Linked DNA regions of Drosophila melanogaster. The protein of the gene in region 1 interacts with the protein of each later gene in a pairwise test. Each region holds a gene or a part of one and is shown in the gene's direction. Other genes may lie near its edges.

Region 1 (8,416 bases):
GTCGGAAACCTAGTTCCCGCAACATGTCGACATTCTCGTCCATGGACTTCTGGTCGGTGAGGTCGAAGGCGCGGTGAAAGGTCACTGGCAGACCACCGGACGCCAGCAAAACGTGCCGACACTGATCCACGTTGATGCTGCGATCCGGATTCAGGGATCCGAAAACGAAGCCATCGGCACCGTTTTCCCGCAGCAAGTCCATGTCCGTGAGCAGGGCGCACATCTCCTCGTCGCTGTAGACAAAGTCGGTGCCCCGCCGTGGCCTCAGCATGCAGTAAATGGGCATTGTGAGCGTTTCCTTAATAGTTTTTAGGGTACCGATGCTGGGTGTCAAGCCACCTTCGCCCAATGCCGAACACAGTTCAATGCGTGAAGCTCCGCCTTCCTCGGCGGCAAAAGCCGATCGTATGGAGTCCACGCAGACCTCCAGCTTGATATCGTGGTTGGACATTTCTCTTATCATTGATAAAAGGACAGGTAAACAAAAATAAACCAATTTATTGCAGAGTTCCGATAGGTTTATGTAAATCAGCTGATTCTACCATCAGCTTCTACAGAAGCAATCGATATCTAACCAAGCACGACACGTTCATCGATAAAAACCAGTTAGTTTCCAGTATTGAAAAACAACACTGTGCCTGTGCTGTTGTGAACAATTTTTGTTAATTTTTTAATTTGATTTGCGAGCGTCGTGCGAGCGAAGCGACGGACATCGCACGGAACGGGAATCGCAACTGGGTTCCTGCAGCATGCGCCAGGATACCTAGGCACCAGTAGAGAAGACCAAGCACACTAGTAGCAATGACAATGGGCGAGCCCACGTCGTCTCTCGTTCTGCCCGTCATACTGCGGCCCATTTTCTCCCAGGTAGGTGAAACGATCCCAGGTGCTCGGCTCCGCTCTGCTGTGCTCTGCTCCGAACCCGTCAGCCCCAAACCGTACCTCTGAACCCTTCAGCCCCGTCAGATCGTGGCCTGTTGCGTAAACCTTTACATGGGGTACTTGGGTTTGTAATTGCTTAACTTTGTGTACGTTTACCTGCAGCTCGAGCGACGCGACGTTGGCGCTGCCCAATCTCTGCGCTCCGCCATTCTCAAGTCGGAGCAGAACAATCCGGGCTTCTGCTATGACCTCGTAGCCACAATTGTGCGGCGGGCCGATCTGAATGTTAACCTAAACGAGGCCGTGCTCCGATTGCAGGGCAAAATTACGGAAGCGGACCGTAAGTAGCCACGCCAGCAGCTGAGTTTCGTAGCTAACGAAGTTTCCCCCTTCCACAGTCAATGAATACCGCTTGACGCGCACGGAGGAGCCCTTCCAGGAGCTCAATCGTAAGTCCGTGGCTCTCAAGGTGATCCTCAGCCGCATACCCGATGAGATAAACGACAGGAAGACCTTCCTGGAGACCATCAAGTAAGTAAAAACTCAAAATGAAGCTAAAACTCACTGCATAAGCTTAACTGATTAATGAATAATGAAATTTTACTGCGTTTTACAGGGAAATCGCCAGCGCCATAAAGAAACTACTCGATGTGGTCAACGAGATCGGCTCGTTTATACCTGGCGTAACGGGCAAGCAGGCTGTGGAGCAGCGTAAGAAGGAGTTCGTCAAATATTCCAAGAAGTTCAGCACAACGCTGAAGGAGTACTTCAAAGAAGGACAGTAAGTATTAAGAATCACCTGCAGTGATTATTTACTATATGTGTTATCAAACGATACGCTGCGACGCCATGACAGCCGGTTTCTTTAAATCGGCTCATATCTGGTTTCTTATCGTTTCGGGCCAACCGTTGAGATGATGTCATTCCATTGGCATTCCGGGTATTGTTTGGTTTATCATTTTGCGCCGGAGATTCTGAGGGGCGGATATTAAGCCGGACCCCCGCCCATTTTAAATTGTAAATTGCTTCGATTACGTACTAATGGCTATTACCGCTGACCTTTTCATGAAATTGGGGCCAAATTGCATTACTAATTCAAATTGCTTCAGCAAGGATTTTCTAACCGATTCTCTTTTATTTTATCTATTTTCAGACCGAATGCAGTATTCATAAGTGCACTTTTTCTAATACGGCAAACGAATCAAATAATGCTGACAGTTAAGAGTAAATGCGAGTAGAGAATTAAATCCTTTAATTATGGCAAATTAATTAATTAGTGGCATTTTAATTTTATGTTTAAATAACCATTTAACATACCAAGACCGAAACAAATCAAATAAACTCAACACACTTAAATACAAAATCGCCCGACGCAGTCCAAGTTAAATGTTTGAACGTAAATGAAAATCTGTTGTAACTAAATAAATAGGCCTAATTTATATCGTATATACATATGTATTACACATACTCGGACACAAAATTTTGCGAAGCCTAAGCATTGTAATTAACTAGTGAGCAACTATTTATGGAGACGGACGATGTGTGCGAGAGTTTATTTTTCGTTTACAATTTATTGTAAATAATTCATTCTTTTTCTGTTAACAAACAACATCGGCTAGTTTGTTTTTGTTTAGGAGAAGCGCCTACGAATAAATTTAAAATTAGTGGAAAAAAAACGAGAAACAGGAAATGTATGTACTACGGGGAGATGACAAACAAAAACATTAACGGAACACTTAAATTTTTAACTGTTTTTAATTGTTAGAGTTTGAAATTTAAACACTATACATAATAATCTTTTACTTAATGATATGTTCTATTTGAAAACTGCGAAAGCGAAAGACATTAGTGGCCGACAGCACTATCAACAGGATGGAGAAAAAATTATTTTAATTAATAAAATGTTATATGAAAATCGAACACTAAGCAAAAGTAAAAGAACGGCAACAAACTCATAATGTAGACATAGCGAAAAGAAAACGACAAATAAATGTATTTATATTCCAAAATTGAAAAGAGTGTTTCATATTTAACCAATTTACGTAAAATTACTTTATAATTTATAGTATTAGGTGTGGTATGATGTGGAAATAATTGTTTTATATTACCCGAGAATTGATTTCGAAAATCAGAGATTGGTAAACTGAAATCAAAATCTCAGATTTACACGCACATGTCGTTAACAGAGGACAGCGCTGTTAACGGATAACAGCCAAAAGTAATAGTAAACCCCCAATAACAGGCCCTGAGCAGAAATTTACCCAGTTGCAACCCCAAAGGAGTCCTTCTGAGAGCGGGAGAGAATTGCCCGTTTTTCAGTGTCATTTGGCAGAAAAATCGATTCCCCGCACACTGAATAGTGGGCACTGGGTACTGAGTGCTCGGCTCTGGGTTCTCTGGGCCACTCTGCTCTGGCACACTGAGCACCGAGCTGGCAGTTGGGTAGAAATCAGAGTGCGCCAGCAGCGCGACCGAGATGACCCACTTTTCGGTATTCGCACTGAGACCCAACTGCTACTACCCACAGAAAGTGGACAACTAGGCGGAGTTTTTTTCTATATAGTAGCAGTGAAACGATCGCGTTTTTCGGATATATTATGTACAGCCTACGTAGCCTAGTGTAAACTATATGCATTTATGTGAATTTCCCAGCGCAAACGTGGAAGAGGAAAACAGGCGACCTGAAAAAGCAGCAGCAGCAGCAAGCAAGAAGCAGAAGCACAAGCAGCAAAAAAGGTTCGCAACCCGTTCAAAAGCCCCCGAATACAAAATATTACAAAAAGTTAACCCAAAAAGAAAGGATAAAATCCTGTGCTTCCGAAAACGAAAACCGCAGTTTAAGCAAAAAGTGTCAAAATCGCGTGGTAAATACTTATTTTGCGCAAGCTGAAAAAAAGAGCTGTTATGCGAGCGAGCGAGCTCACGAAAAATTTCGCTGTACACCAAATGTTTGCCCAACAGCACCGCTGCTGCGTGAAAATTTCATTTTCTCGCCAATAACGTGAAAAAGCTCGCCGCGAGTGCAGTTAAAAAATCCAGTGAAAGATATAATGATTCCGGGAAAATGGTGGGACAGTGAAAAGTAAAAGTGTAAGCATATCGATAAAGGCAAAAAAAAAAAAAAAATACGAAAAAGAGCAGCCAGCGTAAAACTACACTCTCCCACACACACTCACATGCATACATATATCCAAACATATACATATACATACTCGCCCACATGCTGATGCATATACAATATGCAAATGCGGGTAATCACTGTAAAACCGAGGCAGGCGAAATGGTGAATGAAACCGAAATTATAGAAAAATGCCTAAATAAAATCGGAGAAATTGGCTAAAAGCAGAGTTCAGCTACATTTTGGCACAAAAAAGCGCGCACCCACACACACTCACGCATACACCCGCCACACACATACAGAGAAAGCGAAAAGAGCGAGAGGCATGTAAGTAAAGTAGATGTAAATGGCCAACGAAACTGGAGCAGCACCAATACCACTGCAAGTGCCACAACGGCAGGAGCAGCATGTGTGTGTGAGCGTTTCATATTCATAAGCTTCCAGCAGCACCAGCAGCAGCAGCAGCAGAAAAGTCCCACTTTTTGGGTTCGCACTCTGGGGGCGGTTTTCACTTCACACTTGTCCCACAGCCTGCGCAACAACAATGTTAAAGTTGTTTGCTGCTGCGTGCGTAACACACATACTACATACAGTGTACACCCACCACACACGTTCGTGTGTATGTACGTATGCATGTACATATGCATACATATATATGTACACTAAAGGTATCTACAGCGTGCATGCGGTTACCGTTACCTTCTCTGGAGCGGTGTTTTAATACCCGTAACAGCACTTTCCACCGATTGAATGCTTTCACGTATTTCGTATATATTTATAGCCCACTGTACTCAGTTTCCACTGCAATGATCGAAAGTCACGCGTCGATGGCCTGGTACACGTTGCGGATACTTAATACAACATTATCACAACCTAGACGGGCTTATTATGAAAAGAAAGTCTTCATAGCTTCCTTCTATAAATATGTAGTTTTTTCTGTAGATGAATTAAAACATAATTGGCCAAATTTAAATTAACATGTTGCATATGTATTTAATACATGAAGAACTCAAATGTGCAACTATTCAATTGAATTTTCCTTTAAGCCAACAGAAAGATCCCCCGTGTTGAAAAATATAAAGAACGGCTTGAAAAGAAAAGCCATTATGATTTTATTGGATTTTTCCGAGCAGGATTAATCGTTGAGTTTGGCCAATTTTGACAGATGGCAATCATTCAATAATTTATATGCTGGGCTGCCAGCCAAACTGCGACCATGAGATGTCCACAGGCGGGGATCCCCCTGCTTCTCTCCGAACCACTTCCCATTTCCCGGTTTGGCGGTTTGGTTTTCCACCCCATAACTGTGCTATGGTTTTTTTCTATAGTATTTCAGCGCCAGAAGCGACGAAATTCGTGGGTCTGTGTGTGTGCCTGTGTGTGAGCAGCTTGTTATAAATAGGCAAGATAGTTTTTGTGCTCGTGTTCTGGTTCGCTTTTTTCCTTGGCTCTGCGATTGAGGTCATGCCAGCAGCAGGATAATGAACTTTTCCCAACATCTTAAATGTAATTGTAATTGTAATTGCTCGACTTTAAAAAGTTTCTGCTCGCAGTGTTATTTTTAGGACTTGCCACTCGTCATATTCTCGAGCACATTGTCGACTATTTATGCATGTAATTGTTGGCAATGGCTGTTGGCCCCTGCCTTCGTCGGCTATAATTGCTGCAATTAGAAGCACTTGATTGTTATGGCCCAAGTGTGTGAGCATTCAATTAATTGAACGACAGCTCATTAGGGCATCGAAGAGCAGACAATGGTGCTTTAAAACTTTCACCGACCTTTGCTGGAGAATATGTAAATATTAGCTTGGTATGGCCAACTTTTTGCATTTTTCGTGAGTTTGCCAAGGCAACCGATTCCGGATGCTAATTAATTGCCTTTCTTTGCAAACTTGTCTGTCAACACACAAGGTGGAAATTGCCATTTTGCAGTTGCAACTTTTGTTCTCCCGCTTTTTTTTCTTGGTTTTCTGGGCACTTCATTTCAAAGTAAATCAAAGTTGCTGCGCGCCAAAAACCAAAAACGCAACAAAGTTTTTAAATTAGTTTGTCGAAGTTTGGGGCCAACAAAGTTGGCAGGAATATTTCGTTTCATTTCTTTGTGGCGTTTTTTTCCAACCACGAATAGTCAACGAATATTGTTTTAATTACGACTTTTTGTATATTTCACTAGACAGTCGCCTTGCAGTTGTAAATGATATTACGCATACGGCACGTTGTGCGGAAATAAAGATACTGTGCTGGCAGAGGTTACCTTCCCAATTCCCTGCTTTCTCCCTGTTAGATAACGTGCCTCAGTTCCGAGTGAATGGGAATTTTCCATTTAATTTACTCCGATGGCCGCAACGACTTTGGCCAGAATGTGGGTTAATAGAGTGTAAAGCATAGCCAGGCCGCAACCCAGTTTTGGGTGGCTTGGTTGGTTCCATCGGACCTCCGAAGAGGCTGCCTGGTGCGCAGTCTGAGGCTCCGGCTAATCTGCACTTTAAGAACTCATTAAAATTTCAAGCCCCCTCACAACACCACCAGACATCGATGCCACCTCCTCCTTAAAGAACGCACTGAGACCAGAGGTTAAATGTTTAATTGCTAACTAGATCGCTTTGCTTACTGACAGCACTTTAAGTAAATAATTGCCAAGGATTTCAGTTTAAAAGCGTGTACATTAATCATTCATTTAAAAAACTTTTTCATTCATTTGATTAACATAATATTTATTTTTATAATTTGTTCGCATTAACTTGGTAAGTTATAAGCTTAAAATGACATACATTTTGGCTTATTAATGGTCTGATGGAATGGACCTTTAACCAAGGATAATTAATTCATGATGGCTTCAATTTTGCTCTGTGTTTGGGAGGCTGGCAAACAAGTCGCCTGTGACGTAGGCTCCTGTCGCTGTGTGTGTGCGTACATGCACGAGTGCGTATGTGTGGTTGTGTGGAGATAAATGGTGCCAAGCACTGCTCAAGTCCACGAAAGTGTGCGGCAAACGGTGGGGTGCTTAAAATAGTCACCGACAGGCACAGACAGACACTATCGCTGGGTGCCCAGCGGAGGGTTAAGGCAGGACGAGGGGAATTGTGGCGAAGGGGGAGGGGGAATGGGAAGGGGGGAGAGGAGACGTAAGTGGCTAGAACTGATGTTGTGTTTGAAGACAAACAAGGAAATGACAGCGGCCGGATAGCAATCTAGGGATTCTGCCGGACAAAGGACACGTCAAACATATAAGACTAACTAACTGAAAAAAAAAATAACCTTACTGGTACATTAAAGGAAACAATGGGTTTTCATGTACTACAACGAGCAATCAGCTAAATAAACTTATCAAAAAATATCTTAACTTGAGAACATAAGAATTCCTTTTATACAAAAATAACCCTTGCATTGCATACTTATATGAAGGTGCCTTAGTATGACAGTATTATCCTTTAAGACTTTATTCTTCCCGGCATATGAAAACTAGGTTTTAATGAGTACTGTTACATTTACTTATGCATATCTTCGCGGAACATTGTATTACAAATTTTCGTTTCTTTCTGTGTACTTTTACAACTGACATCAACAAAGGCTTCTTGGCCACATCGACTTCAATTGCAAAATGCTTGCAATGCGCTTCATCATAATTAAAAAATCCTGCGGCCCACATGCACACCCACACAAACGCAAACACACCCACACACGCATACAGCAAGCACGGCCACACTGACGGTTAGTGTGAAATGTTAACAATTAGCAGAGTAGCTTAACGGTAACAGCTCTGTTAACAGTAAGTGTCCTCTGCTCATGCGCGAACTCATTCTCTCTCTAGAGGGATATTTTCTCTCTGGCTCACTCGCAGTCTATGTAGCTGACCTCCTCGCACTGTTACACTCAACTATCTCTTTTGCACTTCCAAAAATTAGAGTAGAACCATTAACAGCGTCAAAGTAACAGTAACTGTAGTAGGGCAAATGTGCTTCTACTTGTTGTTGTTCTTGCAGTTGTAACACTCACACACAAAGCGATACATGCACACACACACGCAGGCACTATGCATAACAGCAACTAGTGGCTGTGCTTCTCCCATCGCTTTTCCCAGTTCGCATTTTCCATTTCCCTCTCACATTCACATTCAAGTCGCGCTACACTGCAGTTGTGTCAGTGAGTACTTAATATTTATGGTGTACGGTGCATAGTGTATAGTTGAAGTGGAATGACAGGACATCAAGTTGCTATGATTGTCAGTTAATGAGATAATTACTGTGATTGCGGGTCACCTGGAATACGTAATTGAGCCCCCTCATTACTTTACTTTGTAGTCAAGAAGTTTTCGCACAGATTGTAGGACAAGTCGTTATTCTATTTTAAAGGTTCGAAGGCTTTCAAAAGTTCTATTGCAAATGTTTCTATTGTATCCTGAATACATAAACCTTT
Region 2 (6,504 bases), on another chromosome or scaffold:
GAAAATAAAATGGTTCGGAACATGCATGAAAAAATCAACCTTATATAATCTTATGTTATGAGGATAACATTTCGAAATTTAGGCTTATGTATATGATTTTATCAATAGTAATTAGTTATACTTAAAAAACGTTCAGATTTTAAGTAGATTTTCTAAGGTTTTTAGTGATTTTTCCAAGTCTACCCCTGCGTGATTTCTTCTGCAGCATTCTGATGCCGTTCGTCCTTCAACAGACGCTGCTCCTTTCACACGCAACGCCTCAGCTCGCGTCCTTATTTTCCCTTTTCCACCTCGCGTTGGCACATTTTCCTTTTGCTGCCTCCTCAGCTTTTTTTCGCAGCTCCCCCTCGGCCCCTCACCACATTTCTTGGGGCCCATTGAATTTCATTGTGCGCTCAAATTGTTTTGGTATTCAAGCTTAAAGCACGCGACTGCTTCTATGCCTGTGGTCGGCCATCCTGCTCCTTGGCTCCTTGTGCTGCCACTGTTCCTTCTGTTTTCTGTTTTCCTTTTTTTTTGTTTTTTTTTTTTGCTGCTGCAGGTCCTGCCAGCGAGTGTGCTGGTGTGCGTGCGATGTTTTCGTCCTCGGCGATGTTCTCTGCCTTCCAGCGTATCCTGTTGCTTGCGAAACGCAACCAGTTGAACATTTCCAGCAGGACTCTCTGGGCCTCGGCTCCGCTCGGCTTTCAATATCGTCCTCCGGCGCTCTCTCGCGCTCTCGGGAAAGGATTTCTCTGCTTTTGCTCTCTCTGTTATTCGGCTGTTGCTTGGCACATGTTTAACGCGCAATTATTTTGGTCCTGTTGCGCTTTTTCCATCGCCTTTGTGAGAGTATGGGTGGCTGGATGGCTTAGTTTGTATTCAGACAAAGTCAACTTAAAGTTGCTAAAATAACGTAATTAATTCTGTTATTGAGCACTCAGAAATACACTTAGTTTCTGGTTTTAGATGGATTTTTAAAGTGCGTATATAAGTCCCTAAGGTAGCACTGGTAATCATTACTCCTTTTATTTAAGGATGAATTTTTTAAATGAAAATTCCCTAATACTTTGAATTCTAAACAAACGGTTCTTATAATTTGTTTTACTTTTAAAATTTATACTATACTTCCATTGCACAATTTAAATGTGCACCGAGTCATCAATCAGGTTGTTCCTCATTTTATCACTCGTTTATTTTAATAGAGATTAATTCATCAACATTACGATTATTATTATTATTATATTATATTATTCAATAAGTTCCGCTCCTTAAAAAGCCCCTAAATATCGTGATACCACCATCTCCATGGACATCCACATCATGATGGCCATCAGCATCATTGCTGGGCATGCAACAATTATGAAAAGTCTCCACTCGGGTACGCTTGTCCGCTCGTGTAGACCGAAATCGGCGGCAGGATGGCCGAGTGGATGGATAGAGAGCGCGCACCTTGTGGCAAGTGCGTGTGCGTGGGGGGGCGGGGCATGTGCGATAGGCGACGTTCGCAGCTGCCTGCATCCGCATCCAGGGAAATCGCTTAGCTGTTGCTTCGTGTGCGACTCGCAAGGTGGAAATTGATATTACTTTTTAATGCTGGGCCAGCTGGTGGCTGGCAGGACTTCCAGTGCGCGACAGGGAGGCGGTTATGCCGAGGAGCGGCCGTGCGACAGAGAGGGCGCGAGAAGCGAGAGCGCACTGCTTCGGCTCGAAGGACCAAAAGTGCCAGCCTCGTCACAGTTCGAGTTGAGCCGTCTCGCGAGCAGGACACCAAACGCGGAGGCTGACATATCCTGTCGCCAGGAACTTGGCAACTTGGGTACTTGGGAAACAGGAACCCAGGCTATAGGAGCTATAGCCTTTCTAACTTCTCCCGGCCAAGGTGTGCGTGTGCGCGAGTGTGGGTATCCTGGCTGTTGCTGCTGCTGTAACGGTGTGTGCTTTGTGCGTATGTGAGTGTGTGCGTAGCCGTGTTGTTGGCCAAACAAAAGCCAGAAGAAGTGACGAATAAATTTATAATCGCGCGCTTAACACACGCTACCTGAAAATATACATTTTGCAAAAAGTACTACTCTCACTTTAAGACTAAAAAATTGTTTAGACGCGCAGGTGAGTTGAATTCGTGTGTGCCAAAAATTGTTGTTATGAAAGGACTCGCGTGGCAGGCTAGCAAATAGTTTAATTTCCGGTCTGGCCATCAGGCGCACATCCGGTTTCAGTTTTATTTCCGTCTGTGCTCACTGCTCATTCACATGTTCCAGAATATATCTGCCAATTCTTAAATTCATTTCATAAATACGAATAGGACTTTTAAATTTGAAAGGGCAAAGCAATTTTTTCAGAGGTACCCACCACAAACTTAAACTTTTAAGCAGTAGTTTTCTTTTTTTGTTAAATCATATTTGCTATTTAATATTTAAGAAGAGTATATTTATGTGCCTTATAAAACTCCCAAGTACTTAAGAATTTTTCAAGACCTCGAATCGTTACTGCCAACTTTGTATTGGCTGGAAAAGTGCTTGGAAAAAGAATAAATGTATTGCAAAAGTCCCTGTCTGAATTTGATAAAATACCATTACACAAAAGGTATTGATTCCTGGTCCTGGCCCCTCCAACTAATTCCAAACGTATTAACCAGGCTTATGTCTTAGCCCTTGGGGGCTTTGAGAAAAGACGGCGGACAAACACCTCACAGGCTGGAAAATAAAACAACTTAATGAAGCAAGAAATTGAAAACATTATCAAGGCGATTAATTATTGATACTTTGATGTTGCCGGCCCCCGTCTAATTAATTTATAATTAAGTTAAGCATCTGCCCGGAGCTCACTCTTTGGATTTCGCTGCTTGAGCTTTAAGTCGAGGATGAGGAGCAACTTTAAGCTGTCTTCGGCACCTGCTTCAGCAATTTTTGCGATTGAGACTTTATGGACGTGACCCGCCTGCCGTATCGATGGCAATCAGATTGTTGGGCTGTTTGGGATGACTGGGGTGAGGCTTGGCTAATGCCTGCTTCTGGCCAGCCAACTGTCATTACTCTTGGCCCTAATCCCTGGCCGAGTTTGTGGCGCTCCACTCGAACGGATCCTGAGCCCCACAGCTGAGCCCCTGCACTTACACCTGCCATCGCGTCTGGTCGAGGTCTGCTCCAAAGTGCCTTTATTATGCCATTTTAATTTAGATTCCTATCAATCAGTAATAAGCATTGTGTCCACCCGCACAGACAGCAAAAAAAGCGTTAAAAACGAAGAGATATTAGCTATTAGGGTCAGGAGCATTAGCTTAATATCCGCTTGATTTTTATTACAAAAACTTGATTAAATTGGATTTCCACACTCAGCGGGCAAAGCGAAAATTGGGTTTAAAGTAAATTTCAGATTTATGAAGTCAGAGAATTTTGGGCTTTCTCTTAATCCATTAAATATTACTCATATTTCCGAACATGAAATGTATTTTTCCCCTTTCAAGGGTGAAACATCAATGTCATAATTTACGAATTCATTTGATTGTTTTTACAAGACTCACAATTTGTATTGATATTTCCCACAGTTTTCGCAGAAAGTTTTATAGCATTCGAAGGGAGTAAACAAAGTTGTTTAGTTTTCCTGTTTTGAGCGGATATGCAAATCAAGCGGCAAAACTCATTTCAGTTTCCCCACAAAATCGCCAACAACAAGAAGACAAGGGAAAAGTTAACCAAAACAACAAATGCTAGGCGAAACTGATGAAAAAAAAAAGAAAACTCATTCGGATCGTTTGCATAAATTTGCGTCTTATTTTGTTGGCAATTTATATGCGCAGCCGAATGACACACGCATTTTAATTGAAAGCAAATAAAAGACTCTATAATACATAATATGACAAGCCATAATCCTGACAGCAACAGTTATGCATGCTGACAGCTCGCAGCGTAGGGAAAATGTGGGGAAAAGCGTGCCGAAAACTGGGTCGGAAAAGCGGTGGACTGCCGCGGAGTGGCGGACAAATCCGGAAAATGGACAGCAGGCAAATGCTGACAGGCTGGCCAGCCCAGCGAGTCTAATGGCATTTTAAACAACTGAACTGATGGCCAGTTAGCCCGCTTTTCCCTCGCATGTGTGTGCCCATCGAAATGTATTCATTAATGTCGTCTGCAAAGTCAAAGTGTTTAAAATGTTCAACACGCCCGGGGCACATCCTGGTATCATTATATCCTTGGCCCATCAAGTACACAAACACACGCACGTACGTGTGCAGCCCCAGGATGCCCGCAAAAGGATTAGGCCCTTTGTTTTGGCCCTGCCTAGCAGATTTGGCTCATTCTGGTTGCGCTTTAATCAAAAGCAGAAATTAATTAACTTTGTGCCGAGGATTCCAGACTTATCTCTTCACGGCGTGTGTTGTGAATAATGAACGTTTCCCGGACTCTTGGATTGCGAGATGCAAAATACCAAATTGCCGCTTCATTTGCACAACAATTTTTAATAAAGCAGCAGCAAAGTGAACGAATTTTTTCCCGTCGACGACTTTTGACCGGGTTTTCCGGACGTAAACAAGCGGAGGACCCAAAAAAAAATAAAAATAAAATAACCAAAAAACTGCGGGCCGCAGATAAAAAACGCGTAAACAAATAACCGACATAAAGCGCATAAAGTGAATGATGCTGGCCACAGGCGCAAATATTTATTTTACATTTTTAAATAAGTCGCTCACATTTGTTGTATTTGGCCTGATGTCGACATCCCATTTGATATATACACATAAAAAACTGATGCAGAGTAAAAAATTCCGTTTATTTACATGCTTCTTATCTGCTTTAATGCATTTACTCAAAACATTCAATACATTTTTATATTCATAAAAACATACTGTTGATTTATGAATCAGCTTAAAGACAACATATAGGAAATACCTTACTGACTTTCTACCTTTTGGGCTTTAAATCGGGTGTATATTAATACTTATATAATTATCGGAACATAAGTTTTTCTTCAGTCACTTTGTGTTTCGTTTATCAATCTTTTAAGCATCCAAATTTCTTTTTTATATCTATTGCTTTCAGTGGGGAATTTAACTAATTGAATTTCGTTGGCATGTCCACTCAACACGAAACTCGGAGGCCATTCCCTTTTTTTGTTGATCCTTTTGCAAGTTACGCATGCCAAACTGTGCAAAGTGCAGACTTACGCAAAAAATCGAAGGCTTCTAAGTGGAAGGAGTTGAAGGATATGGGCGCTGGGTGGGGGTGGGTGAATTGCGCCCCACTCACATTTTCCAGCTTTTCCCACTCACAGGAGGCTGTCGTGCAGGGGAAATCGGTGAACGGAGCACTTGTCGTTTGCACGCTCCTCTATTTACTTTCTGCGGCTCGACGAATTCCCAATTAAAATGTTTGCCCACAGTTCTGGCAAGTAGGTAGTTTGGAGCAGCTCTTGTTCACTGGTAATTTGCATACGTGGATGCGTGACTATGTCCCGAAACACAATTTCTCGTTACGGGCCCCATGAAAAGCAACTATCCGACTCCAGGGTGCAAAAAAAGTGTTGGCTGGCAGAAATAAATTACACTTTTTCGCTCGATTTTAATCCTGGAAATGCTGAATTTTTCCCGTGAAATACAGCAAACTTTGAGTGAATTAAAGAGAGCTTTGACGTAAATTACTTTTATGTCTTGCAGCTTTTTAATTTATTTAACGGAACCAAAACAAATTGCATTAGAGTTTCAGTTAAAAGCTACAGACCATATTAATATTTAGAAATAATTTTTGTGTAACTGAGTTACTAGATTAGAAACACTTTTACTTTAGTAACCATGATTTTTAATTATCATGTTACATACAATTATTTACCTGTCCCCATTTTTATTTGACAGTCTAATTTAGATATTTCTGCTAGAAAGCCAGCGAAACCCATAGGGATTTTCTCCACTTGTCTTAACTTGGCCAAATCGCCGCTACACGGACAGTGACAAAATGCTACAAATTTTACAATTTCCCTGTGCCATTTAAGGTCTTCTTCTGGATGATAGCATTGTCCGCCGGCTGTTGGCGTTGCTATTACCGTAACGCGGAGTATCTGTAATATCCGGGCGCCACAAGAAGTAAGGAGGAGCAGGGAATAGGATACCTAGGATATATAGGCCATCCAGGCAGACAGTGACAGAAGGTAGATAGCCCAGGCACTGCGCTACTTGGTCGCCCTGTGTTTACATTTTGTTAAACGCGACCCTGACCCGCTTCCAACTCAGCCCTAGGTGTTTTGCTTCTCCTGCTCCTGCTCATCCTAGTCCTATCCCAGTCCCTTCTCACAACGTGTAATCGCTCAAAGCAGCTGATAATGGCTCCACTGGCTGCTGACGCCTCTCCAATCCTCCCAGCCCAATCACACTTGAAAAAAAAATCATTTCAAATTTCATTAATTAAATTCTTTTTAATTTAAAGAATAACCTTGTACTTTTATAGATAGATTTGATATGGTTTTATTTCCTCTTCGACCGGCTTTCAATGCGAATATATTGCATTTTGGTCCCTGTAATGAATGAAAGGACCT

The links. The genes of interacting proteins can lie anywhere in the genome.
Region 2: the proteins of Rbp (region 1) and Fife interact in a two-hybrid assay, tested with the Drosophila melanogaster proteins (one study listed by BioGRID).

Annotation. Positions count from the first base shown.
Region 1 is NT_033777.3:15,371,351-15,379,766, forward strand, and holds the start of Rbp (RIM-binding protein), read left to right. Parts: upstream 1-3,284; 5' UTR 3,285-3,511; coding exon 3,512-3,618; exon of another isoform or gene 3,619-4,327; intron 4,328-8,416. Other genes in the region: CG6136 (uncharacterized protein), read right to left, coding at 1-463; Ccm3 (cerebral cavernous malformation 3), read left to right, coding at 802-867, 1,045-1,222, 1,281-1,413, 1,499-1,663, 2,036-2,120.
Region 2 is NT_037436.4:2,706,936-2,713,439, reverse strand, and holds the start of Fife (fife), read left to right. Parts: upstream 1-1,749; 5' UTR 1,750-2,088; intron 2,089-6,504.